Neurospora crassa OR74A: one gene and its partners. The protein of the gene in region 3 purifies or fractionates together with the protein of the main gene of each other region. This does not show direct contact. Links are inferred from orthologs where the notes say so. Each region holds a gene or a part of one and is shown on either strand. Other genes may lie near its edges. The genes, in order: NCU07058, NCU07956 and NCU08968.

What was found.
Region 1: the proteins of NCU08968 (region 3) and NCU07058 purify together in Saccharomyces cerevisiae (affinity purification with mass spectrometry; 3 studies listed by BioGRID). This does not show direct contact. The link is inferred for Neurospora crassa OR74A from reciprocal best matches to the Saccharomyces cerevisiae genes DIM1 and UTP14.
Region 2: the proteins of NCU08968 (region 3) and NCU07956 purify together in Saccharomyces cerevisiae (affinity purification with western blotting; 3 studies listed by BioGRID, with this or other methods). This does not show direct contact. The link is inferred for Neurospora crassa OR74A from reciprocal best matches to the Saccharomyces cerevisiae genes DIM1 and PNO1.

The regions. Positions count from the first base shown.
Region 1 is NC_026506.1:332,633-336,380, forward strand, and holds the start of NCU07058 (small nucleolar ribonucleoprotein complex subunit Utp14), read right to left. Parts: upstream 2,301-3,748; 5' UTR 2,044-2,300; coding exon 1-2,043. Other genes in the region: NCU07057 (hypothetical protein), read left to right, coding at 2,752-2,940, 3,081-3,203. UniProt on the Saccharomyces cerevisiae protein: Involved in nucleolar processing of pre-18S ribosomal RNA.
Region 2 is NC_026504.1:1,226,189-1,229,884, reverse strand, and holds NCU07956 (pre-rRNA-processing protein PNO1), read left to right. Parts: upstream 1-1,320; 5' UTR 1,321-1,571; coding exon 1,572-1,867; intron 1,868-1,935; coding exon 1,936-2,243; intron 2,244-2,306; coding exon 2,307-2,476; 3' UTR 2,477-3,080; downstream 3,081-3,696. Other genes in the region: pod-1 (mitochondrion biogenesis protein), read right to left, coding at 1-892; NCU07957 (hypothetical protein), read right to left, coding at 3,577-3,696. UniProt on the Saccharomyces cerevisiae protein: Required for small ribosomal subunit (SSU) synthesis. Has a role in the processing of early nucleolar and late cytoplasmic pre-RNA species. Recruits DIM1 to nucleolar pre-RNAs.
Region 3 is NC_026505.1:5,864,581-5,868,328, reverse strand, and holds NCU08968 (dimethyladenosine transferase), read right to left. Parts: upstream 2,308-3,748; 5' UTR 2,060-2,307; coding exon 1,271-2,059; intron 1,213-1,270; coding exon 837-1,212; intron 775-836; coding exon 743-774; 3' UTR 537-742; downstream 1-536. Other genes in the region: NCU08969 (hypothetical protein), read left to right, coding at 1-183; NCU08967 (arrestin domain-containing protein), read left to right, coding at 2,873-3,748. UniProt on the Saccharomyces cerevisiae protein: Specifically dimethylates two adjacent adenosines in the loop of a conserved hairpin near the 3'-end of 18S rRNA in the 40S particle.

The DNA of each region.
Region 1 (3,748 bases), on a different chromosome or scaffold from region 3:
AGTGTCCTCGACTTGGGTGGTGGCTGCTTGTTGTGGTGTTACTTGGAGATTGGACATGTCGTTTGTGATGTTCTTCTTCTCCTTCTTCTTCTGAGCAGCCTGCTGGCCGGGGAGTATGATCTCCGTCTTGCCCATACCGAACTGCCTCCGACCGATGTCCGTCTCTTCGACATCGTCAGAGTCGTAGTCGGAATCGAGGTCTCGGCGAATCTGCGCAATCATCTCATCGTTCTCCTTCCTCTTCTGGGCTTCGCCGCGTTGCATGAACTTCATCTGCATCAGCCCCGACTCGACCTCGCCATCCGCGTAGGAAGCAGCGTGCTCGAGCTGTTCCAGCAACCGTTTCTTGTTCTTCTTCTCATCGCCAGACTCGGCAGAGTAATCGTCGGAACCACTGTCTTCAGAATCCTCCTCGCCCTTTCTGCGTCCCTCGATCCGGCGGCGCAGCTCCTCCTTCTGGCGAGCAGCCTCTGTCAACCCAGCGCGGAAGTTGTCGTCCCACACTGCGCGACCGGCCTTCTTGCCGAGCTTGGCCCACTTGCTGTCCCGGTGACGAGTACCGACGCGCTCGAGGGCTCGCCTCCTGTCCAGAGCCTCGCGCTCCTCTTCTGAATCAATCTCTCCCGCCTCAACCATGGCATCATGCATCTCCTGCTCGTCGTGGAGCAGCTCCTTGCGATGAATGCGACGGTACGCCTTGGACTTGATCTTCTTGATGCGCTTCTGGCGGGCCTGCTCGCGCGAGAACAGCTCACGCTCGCGGCGCTTCTGACGGGTGATTTCTTGCATCTCAGCGGCCGAGAGACCCTTGCGAGCGGCAATCTCCTCGACGTTATCCTGGTCCTCCTTCTTGGGCTTGTTAGTGGGTCCCAAGCCGGATTCCTCCATGATGGCCAAGATGGTCTGTTCGAGCTCGGTACCCGCCGTGGCCTTGGTCACGGGAAGGAGTTCTTGACTGTCGAGGCCGGCGTCGTGGGCATTTTGCGCGAGGGGGAAAACCAGGTGATCCGCACGGCGGTTGTGCTTGACTGTGTCGATCCAGCGCTCGAGCGTCTCGGAGGTCTTTTCGTAGGCGGCGGAGCGGAGGAGCTTGTCTTGTTGCCTCTTTGCGAGGGGGATGTCGAGCTTCTTGGATTGCCCAGGCTTGGCGGCCTTTTCCTCCTTGTTCATGAGCTTGAGAGACTTCTTCATGTGGGGGTCCTGGACGCCAAGGAGGCCGAGATCTGAGAGACTGAGTTTGTTTGTTGGTTTCGAGCCTGATTGCTCCTCGTCGTCGTTGTCGTCGCCCGCAAACCCGGAGATCATCTTTTGGAGGTCGTCGAGCTTGGAAGGGTCTTCCATATCGTCGTCACTGTCTTCGCTTTCGCTCGATTCGCTGTCCGCGTCGTCTTCCGATCCTGACTCCTCTTCGCCCTCCTCCTCCTCGCTGCTTTCATACTGATCCAGTGCTGTGGCGAGATCGATGGCGTCGGAACCGAGCGACTCCAAGTCATCGTCCTCATCTTCGTCCTCTTCCTCCTCATCACTGTCGTTTCCACCCTTCTTCGCCTTCTTGCCCTTCTTGTTGGAGCTGCTCCCGCTGAAGGCATAGCCATCGAACTTTTCCTCGTCGCTCTCACCAAAGGCCTCATCAGAGTCGAGTTCGGAATCTTCGTCATCAGCGCCTACACCAACGTGCCACTCCTCGCCATCGCTGTCCTCGCCACCGTCGGAGAAGCCTTCGAAATCGTCGCTGTTTTTGGCCTTCTTCTTTTGTGGCCTGGCGTCCTCGAGATCTTCCTCATCCTCGTCTCCGTCCTCATCGTCTTCGTCGTCGCCATCTCGTTGTCTCTTCTGGGGGCGCTCTTCGGGCTCGTCGAGGTCTCGTGTGCGGACGCCCTTGGCTTTCTTTTGGGGGACTTGTTCGGCGGCAATAGCGAAGGCGTCGAGGACGTTGTTTCTGGATTTCCTATCGGCAGTCTTGTTGTTGACTCTGTGCTTGGGACGCCCTCCGCCGCCCGACTTGGGCATTAGAGGCCTGCCGTGGGCTTGACGGCCGGGCATTTTGCTGGTATTTGAGAATTGACTGATTGGAAGTCGGAAGGTAATTCAGTCAATTAAGTTCGAGGTCGAGCAAGCAAAAATTGGGTGATGAGATTGTCGACGAAGTCCAGTGGTTGGATGGAATGAATCGATGGATGTCAATGTCCAACTTTTGCCTGCACGGGTCCTGGAGGTCGAAGTGGTCAGGTCCCTTCAACGGCAACTCCCACCAAGCCTTCAACTTTCTGCCAGTGAACAAGCTCCCCCGAAACTTTTTCTGCCGCCTCTGTAATCGATAATTTTCGGGCGGTGAGGGCGCAACACCCACCCATTTTGCGGGGCCGCAGCAGGCTACAGGGGTACCTGTTTCTCCCAGCCTCACGTCATTGGCTCAATTGAGCTCCAAACTTCTGAAATGGCTCCACCTCAACCCGGCGCGGCCCCGGACGTCTTTGCGATTTCTCGATTCCAACCCCGTCGCCCGTCGCCCGTTGCCCGTCGCCGTCCGTGTTGTCCAGCGCCAGTCCGAGTCCGAGTCCGAGTCCCGTCTCCGTTCCTGTCGCGTGCGCCGGATCTTCAACACTCTAAAGCGGATCCCGTCTCCGTCCCACTTGCGCCCACCTCAACCACCCTCACCACAGCGAGGTGCTTCCACCACCCAGATCACCGACCACAAAAAGCAATTCTCCGTCGTCGTTGCCCCGCAAAGCGCAATCCTCCTAGCCCACCATGCAGCCCACTCGCATCCTCCAAGGTCTCAAGTACCGCAAGTTGCGCCTGACCACCAAGGACGTCAACAAGGGTTTCTACAAGGGTAACCGCACCGGTTCCATGGGTACGCACACCAGCTACGGTACCTACAAGATCGACTACACCAAGGTCCGCACCTATGTGTGCCCGGACCTGACCGGTTTCAAGGTGGGTGGTCCTCTATTTCCGTCCGGGTTTGGGGTTGGAATGGGATGTGTTGGGGGATCTGGTGCTAGGGGAGGGACCGAGAATGGAGGACAAAAGAGAATAAAAAAGAATTATGCTAACAAGATCCAACAACAACAAAGCTCACCCCCTTCGTCTCCAAGACCATCCGCCCCGTCCACGACCAGTTCCCCGGCGACAAGCTCGGCCCCAAGAACCCCGCCACTTACCTTGCTCGCTGGAAGTCGGAGAACGGTCTCGACTAAACGGTCGTCATTTTTTCAAGGAGGGAGGAGGAGGACATTACGATACCAGACCACGGCGAGGAAATGGAGCGAGGCTCACTCAACTATCAAACTACCAAACGCAATATATACCCAAGTTCTGATTACATTCCGAAAGCCTGCCGACACAGACCCGTTCGAAGGACCACGAGCCACTCTCCACTGTACATTATATGACCTGACCACCAGGAATCAACCACCTAGCAGCTCCACTGTTCTGGGTCATATGTGAAATTGGAACATGTCCAGGTTCTCTGCCTTTGGAGTCGCCACGCTGCTACCTAGGCTGATGGTCTCGACATTCCTACCATTGAGATACAGCCTGATAGCTAACCATACGTATTCAAAGAACACTCGCCTTCAGAGCTGCCTACGATACATCTCCCCTTTCGGATTGGTTCTTTGAATTTTGATGTCACGATGATCTCGCCGTCACATTTCTTTTCTTCTAGAAGAGACAAGGCCGATTTATATGACTATACCCAAAGGTGTCCAATGGTCCCTGTCCGAGATTCAAGGGGGTCTTG
Region 2 (3,696 bases), on a different chromosome or scaffold from region 3:
AGGTAGTTGTGCCAACAAGAATCCAGACCAAATGACCGAATAAGAAGAAGGACACAAACGCTCCCCATTCGTCGGCGTTCCAGGGGCGCATGCTCCTGATGGAGAACCACTTGAATCGGACCTTGAGACGCGACCAGAACCCGCTTGCTGCCGCCAGAAGCTCTTCTTTTGTGGGCCGATGAGGCAAATGGGGGAGGTGAGGAAGGTGAAGGTATTTAGACATGGAATCTGCTATTGATTCATGTGCGGGAGTCGGCTGGGAACCAGAACCGGAAGCCGTCTCGGTATTCGGTGGCTGCTGTGGTTGCTCGGACTTTTGCTGAGGAGAAATTGTAGAAGACTTGGCTTCGGCCTTGGTCTCGTCATGATCACCCTTGGTCTCTTTGCCCGAACTTTGGAATCGCTTTCCTGTCTTGCATAACGTTGTGGTCGTGGTGTTCTGTCGTATCCTTCGCAAGAGTAAAGCCTGCCGAGCCAAGTGGCCCATTTTTGCCTTTTGCGCGGCATTGCCGGATAGTGCGGATGCCTCTACCGTGCTCGTTGGAGAGGGGCTGGTGGTGAGCCCAAGGAGGAGTAGGCCTCCGGAGGTACAGCTTCGTAGGACATTATGGGATGGTTGTGACTGTTGATAGTGTAGTCTTTGCGATTTTGTTGCTGGGAAGAAAAAGCGACTTGCGGAAGAGGTAAATTGTCGCGTGCTCTGCTGCTGTCCGTATCGCTGATGGGACCCCAGCGATGTCGAGGGGCCAAGTCCAAGACTTTGACGACTCAGTAATGGCTGACAAGTTGGAAGCAGTATCGCGGCTGTGAAGAGATTCGAGGTGGTGTGAAGATCTCGTACTGAAGACCATAGCTGGCGGCCCAGCTGGGTCGTCGTAGCGCTAGTAGACATTGTTGAAATTCATACTGTCGACCGAGTAAGGGACCGACCTGTTCCTTTTTTTTTTCCTATGTTTTCAGCGACGATGGTGATGACGACAGCTCGGTGCCGTATCCATGGTCGGTCCTCGAGGCTGAAAATCAGATGTTGTTGCTTGGTGGTGGGCCGAGTCTAGAATGACATATGATGGTGCTCCTGCTCTGACCAAGAACCTGGAGTTTGAAAAAGCTGCCGGTCCAGGTCCCCGTCAAAAGTGCGTCAATGACGCTAACCTTGGGATTACAGGGATTCCTCGGTAACTGTTAGTGCATGGGCGTTGCGATTGGCAAGGGTCCTAGCCCCCATGCAGCCAATCGATAAGCTTCACTTGGGTACTCTTTTGTGGATCCACTGCTTTTTGTCAAGAATTTCCCCTCTGCGCTATCAAAATCGATAAACATCAAAATTCTAGAGACCGACGGCGCAAAAAGGCAGAACTTCGACTCCCAGATCTCCGCAATTCACGACTGTAACCCAGCATCCCGACACTTCTTTCGTCGCCCGTCACCAGTCTCTCCTCCACCCGATTTTCGAAAAATCTGCCATTACTCTTGGCCGGCGATTTCCCAAAATACTACCGACTTTAATCAACAAACAACCCGACTCGGCCCCTTGACCATCACCCACCGATAAACAACACATCTCGCCCAACATGCCTGCGCCAACAGCACTTCGTCAGCCTGTCAAGGCTCCCGCCGCCCAGATTCCTATCCAGACCGAGCAAGAGGACGAGCTCATTCTCGATGTCAACGAGGCCGTCAACCTCACCGATCCCAGCGCCGCCGCTCCCCCTTCCAATGACCAAGATGTGCAGATGGCTGTAGACGAGGAGGGCCGCCCCCGTTTCGCCCCCGGCCAGGACGTCCAGATCATTCGCCGCGCAGAGACCAGGAAAATTGGTATCCCGCCAAACCGCATGTCGGCCCTCAAGGCCAATTGGACCAAGATGTGAGACGGAAAACTACGGAAACATGTGTGAATGTTTGGGCAAGGAAGACTGACTGTTTTCCAATCAGCTACCCCCCACTTGTAGAGCACTGCAAGCTCCAGGTCCGCATGAACATCAAGGAGAAGCGCGTCGAGCTCCGCTCCAGCAGACACACCACCACCCCCGAATCCCTGCAGATGGGTGCCGATTTCGTCTCCGCCTTCGCCATGGGCTTCGACATTGACGACGCCATTGCCCTGCTCCGTCTCGATTCGCTCTATATCCAGTCCTTCGATGTCAAGGATGTCCGTCAGACCCTTGGCCCCGATGCTCTGGGACGTGCGATTGGTCGTATTGCAGGCAAGGACGGAAAGACCAAGTTTGCGATTGAGAATGGTACGTTCACCATTATGGGAGAATGGAAGAGATGACGCAGAAGTACTGACAAGATGTGAAAAGCCACAAAAACCAGAATCGTCCTCGCCGGCTCCCGCGTTCATATCCTCGGTGCCTTCGAGAACATTGGCATGGCCCGCGAGTCCGTCGTCTCCCTCATTCTCGGACACCAGCCCGGCAAGGTGTACAACAACCTCCGGATCATTGCCTCGAGGCAAAAGGAGAGATTCTAAGCTCTTTCTTTCACGAAAAACGGCAACAATGTGTTACACTTCTATTGCCGCTATTCTCACCTAATGAATGGTTCACGCACGGGGCTGCATGGTTCAGTCAACAAAAAATCGACGGTTTTCATCACATAAGGGGCGAAGGTGGCATTTCGGGAGCTACGCTTAAAAAGGGTTCTGGCGTTTAGGAGTTCATTATGCTTTTGCTTTGAGTTTGGAGAGTTTGAAATGGGCGATTCAGTCAGTCATGCTGGGGATATCTACGAAGGTGTGTAGAAGCGGGAGGAAGAGGACGGGATATTGGGGAGCTACCGCCTTGCGAATCTTTCAATGTGTGGTTATGATCTATACCCGGAGGACGAGAAGAGAAGACAATGAACAGAGATATTCACCAAAAGGCGGTTTAGTGCATATTGGCTGGCAAGGTCGATTATTGTGCAGAGAAAGTGATGTGGGAAACTGATCCAGTGCGCTCATTTGGTTGAGGTTCAATTCCATGGTGACGGCAAATCAAGCAAAATGTAAGGAGCTGATGTGATGGGCACCAATGTAGCCAGGTGAGCCACGATAGATTGGTTTCTTCAGGTCATACAAGTAGTAGTTATTTCCATCCATTCTCTTATCTCGCTTGTTCCGCATAAGTAAAGGTCTTGTTTGTTTTACAGTCCAGATGGCGAACCGTATATCGAAATAGCAGATAGAGCATAGTCAAACCCCTCGATATTCACCTACGATAGGTGGGATGAGACCATCTTAACCCGAGGAGGCTCTTTTTGTGCTCTGACTGACCAACTCCCATGACTCATCAAGCTTGTTGAAATAAAGTGAAGGCAAGACGTAGCAAAAAGTGATATACGTATGGGTATCTTCTGAAGAGCTAGGGTACCACCTCCGCACCATGAACCGTGTCCTGGAAGGACTTGCAACACTCCAAACTCCGTAATCATCTGTCACAACTTTAAGCAAAAACAATAATCCACTAGTCACCGCCGATTTCGTAGGCCTGACGAATAAGCCCGGTAAACTCCAACCCCATAACAGCTAAAGAAATGTGCGAATAACGTCTCCCAAAACCCAGTCTCCATGTTTATTCTCCAGGTCATACACTACTTGATGTAGACCTCAAACTGATTGGTCTCGTCCCTCTCAATGTCCATCGCCCCAACCAGCATGTTCTCGTTCAGCTCCTCGCCGTCAAACTGTATCACGACAGTCTGCTCCGGCTT
Region 3 (3,748 bases):
GCTGTTTGGAGTGTTTCTCCCGATGGGGACGCCGGCGATGGCATGGGTGCTGAGACCTTCGTGGTTTTTGGGCTATGGGTGTTGGGTGCGGAGGATGGAGGTCGAAGAATGGAGGAGTGGAGGAGAGAAGGACAAGAACGGCGACACATTTTAGTATCCAGTGTCGTGCTTTCCAAAATATAAGTTGCGGTCACCATTTGTTCTTCTTCTTTTTCTTTGCCCCTCTTCAATGGTTTTGAACAACTGACAAGCTATCGAAAGAAGGCTTCCACGCTTTCTGGCTTGGTAACGACGCACTCGGCGCCTGTTACTGAGAGAGGTAGGGTAGGAAAACAGCTTGCTCTCCTGTGCTTTCCGTTTCCCTGTTACTCCAAGGACTCGGTCCCGTAGGTCACTGACCACTCCCCCGATCCATGGTTTTATTATAAAAGACATCTCGATGCGGTAGGTCTGGTATTGTCAGCAATTGCTTCTCAGCAATGTTTGAGCAACGTGACGAAGAGAACAACATCCGACGCTCAAGCAATCCAAACGAAAGATGATTATGGTTCGATTCCTGGCAAAAGTGGCAGCCAGATTCATTGGCTTTTATGATTGTGCAAATCCTAGCATCCAGATCAATGGTATTTCCACGACAAATGGAACAAAACAAAGAATTTTTAAAAAACGACATTTTCCCAATCCCCAAAAAACGCCCCGTACGCCGATGATTTCTGTGCGTGTTCGCAATAATAACACACGTCTAAGAGAAGTGAATACCCTCCTCGTGGAACGCTGTCAGGAGTGTTAGCGAGGTTGTCCATCAGAAAGGGAAGCCGAGGGGGAAGAAAACGTACCAAGCAACAGCTTGAGGAAATCGTTCTGATCGCACTGCCTAGCTCTCTTGTCCGCCAAACCGGTGCTCGTAAGCACCTTGTTCAACTTGGCCTTGACTATCAAGGCCACCTTGGACTTGGGGTTCTTGCTAGGTGTCTTGGCGTCCTTAGCGTTGGCGTCGTTTTGCTCCTTGAAGAAGACGGGCATGTCCTCGTCCTCATCCTCCTCCATAGCCTCGTCATCGTCGTTGTTCTCTTCGTTATCATTGTCTTCGTTGTCGTCGTCCATCTCGACGTCCATGGCATCGTTGGTGGCGCCGGCGGCAGCAAGGTCAGCCGCGGAAGCGAGGGACTCGTCGATGGGGATGTTGTTGAGGGTGCAGTAGACTTTGTAGTTCTGGAAACGAAGTGGTCAGTAAGAGTTGGAGCTTGTGAACACATGGGAAGAAACGTACCCTCTCGCACATGTTGAGGACCTCCTTCTGGTTGAAGCCGGCATAAAGGGTCTTGTTCTTGCGGTTGAAAGCAATGCGAAGGAGACCGTCGAACTCCTCAAAAGCAATGTTGGGGCGCGCCGAACCAACAAGGGGCTCAATTCTGACGACGTCGGACTCGACCTTGGGAGGAGGCTTGAAGTTCTGCTTGCCGACCTTCATGATGTGCTTGCATGTGGCCCAGAAGTTGACATTGACACTCAATCTCGAGTAGAGAGCATCACCCGGCCGAGCCACCAGTCTCTTTGCGAATTCTCTTTGAAACATGAGTACGGCGACGCGGGGCGGGTTGGGCATGGCCAACATCTTGAAGATGAGCGGACTGGAAATTTGGTAGGGAGTGTTGGAGATGAGAGCGTCGCATGGAGGCATTTCGGGCATCTTGATGACATCGCCGAGAATGACCTCGAGCTTCTTGGCTAGCGGAGTGCCCTGGACACGCTTGGTAACTTCGGCACCCATACGAGGATCGAGCTCGATGGCGATGACCTTCTTTGCCTTTTCAAGGGCGCGGACCGTGATGTTGCCGGTACCGGGACCGACTTCGACGACGACATCGGTGGGCTTGAGGAAGGCCTTGTCGACAATGGCATCCGAGATACCGGGGTTCTTGAGGATATGCTGGCCAAAGTCCTTGTCGAACTTGAAGATGTTGGTGTTGGTAGCCTTGCCGCCGCCGCCGCCCCCCTTGCGATCGTAGGGGTTGCCGCCGCCCCCCGACTTCTTGGACGCCTTCGCTGCCTTGGGCATGGTGTAGTCTAGTCAATGCTGTCGTGGGTAGGTGTGTGGAGGAAGACGACTCGGAATCGAGGTCGGACGAGAAGGTTGGGGGATCGATGGAGGGTTTCGTCGTTTCGGTCGATCTCTGTCCGGGTCGAGACTTGGGCGGTTCGTTCTCAAGTCACGGCAGTCGCGCAATGGCTGTAGTATGTACCTCTATTGTGAGACGGACAGAGGTACCGCAGGCTGAAGAGAGCTTCCTTGTGCCTGCGCCGGACCCCGGCCGACATCTTTTTTTTGAGTGGATCAGGCGGCAGAAAAAAAGATGCCCCGCCAGACATGTGGCTGATAAGATAAGCAAAAGGCTGACCGCTTTCCCCATTGAGACACCATGCGGGCGGCGGCGGCGGCCCAGCCCACTGGAAACATCAGTGGAATCCAGGCACCTCGGCCACTTCCGACCGATGATTCCCCGTCTGACGTAACAGCGGAGGCCGCCCTAAACATGTGCGGCGGGTTCAAATTGCTACCCAGCACTTAAACGGCAAATCCTCCGGTCTTTCAGTGAGGGTCTTCCCCGTCATCACCTAACTGCCGTGTGAAGCTGATCACATCGAAGCAGACAGGCAGTGGCTTTGAATTTTCATCTACCTACCTATAATACCAACCCCCTCCCAAGGTTCGAGGAAATCGGATTGTAAAAAAAAAATAACAGATTCTTTTCCATCATCTTCTCCTTGGCTCATACCTGGGCGTGTGACCCACTGGTTATTCCTTGTTGTTTTGGTTCATGTGGTGATAGCCTCATTTCTCTGTTGAAGTTGACGATAATCAATCGCAACCATGTCGATACGGATCGCCCTCGAAAACCCTCCCGAGTTCTACACAAACCTGGATATTATCCGCGGCCAGGTCGTCCTCACTCTCAGTCGTCCCGAACAGATCGGAGGCATCATCGTCAAACTCGAGGGTGAAGCCAAGTCGGCCTTGGGAGTACCCGCCGATGGCTCAGGGACCGGCATTGCTCAGAGGGAGCGCACTCCAACCGGCGATGTTATCTACGAGAACCACAAGATCCTATACAAAGTCACCCAGGCCTTTCCCGACGAGAAGACCAACGCCTTGCCACAGCCCTATGTCCTAGCCGCTGGTCAACACAGATTCCCCTTCCAGTTCAAGTTTCCCTTCAACAATGCTTGTGGTGATCCTGTCGCCATGGCCAAACTAGGAGGCCTTTCTGGTGCCGGTGGAATCGCGTCGGGTTCTGGCTTGTTCGGTCTCGGTGGCATTCGTGTTATGGACGGCACCAAGCAGCTGATGTACTCCCATGTCACAAAGACGCTCCCACCCAGTTTCACCGGATTCCCAGGCCAGTGCGAGATTCGATACTATGTCAAGGTTACCATTCAGAGACCGGGCTTTTTCAAGGAGAACTGGAGGATGCAGACCGGCTTGAAATTCCTTCCTATTGAGCCTCCAAGGCCGCCCAAGACGAACCACGAAGCCTATGCCAGACGACCCTTTGCATTCCGTCCACGAAGCCCAAGGACAAACGCGTCTTCCAAGAAACGAGCTTCTTTCTTCAGCGGGTGGACTGGGAGTAGCAATGCAGGGTCATCTTCAGCCCCAACAACAACAACAACAACGGCTGATGGAAAACTTGCAACGGAGCCCGAAGTGCCTCCGTCGATAGAGATGTCGGCTCGACTTCCACACCCT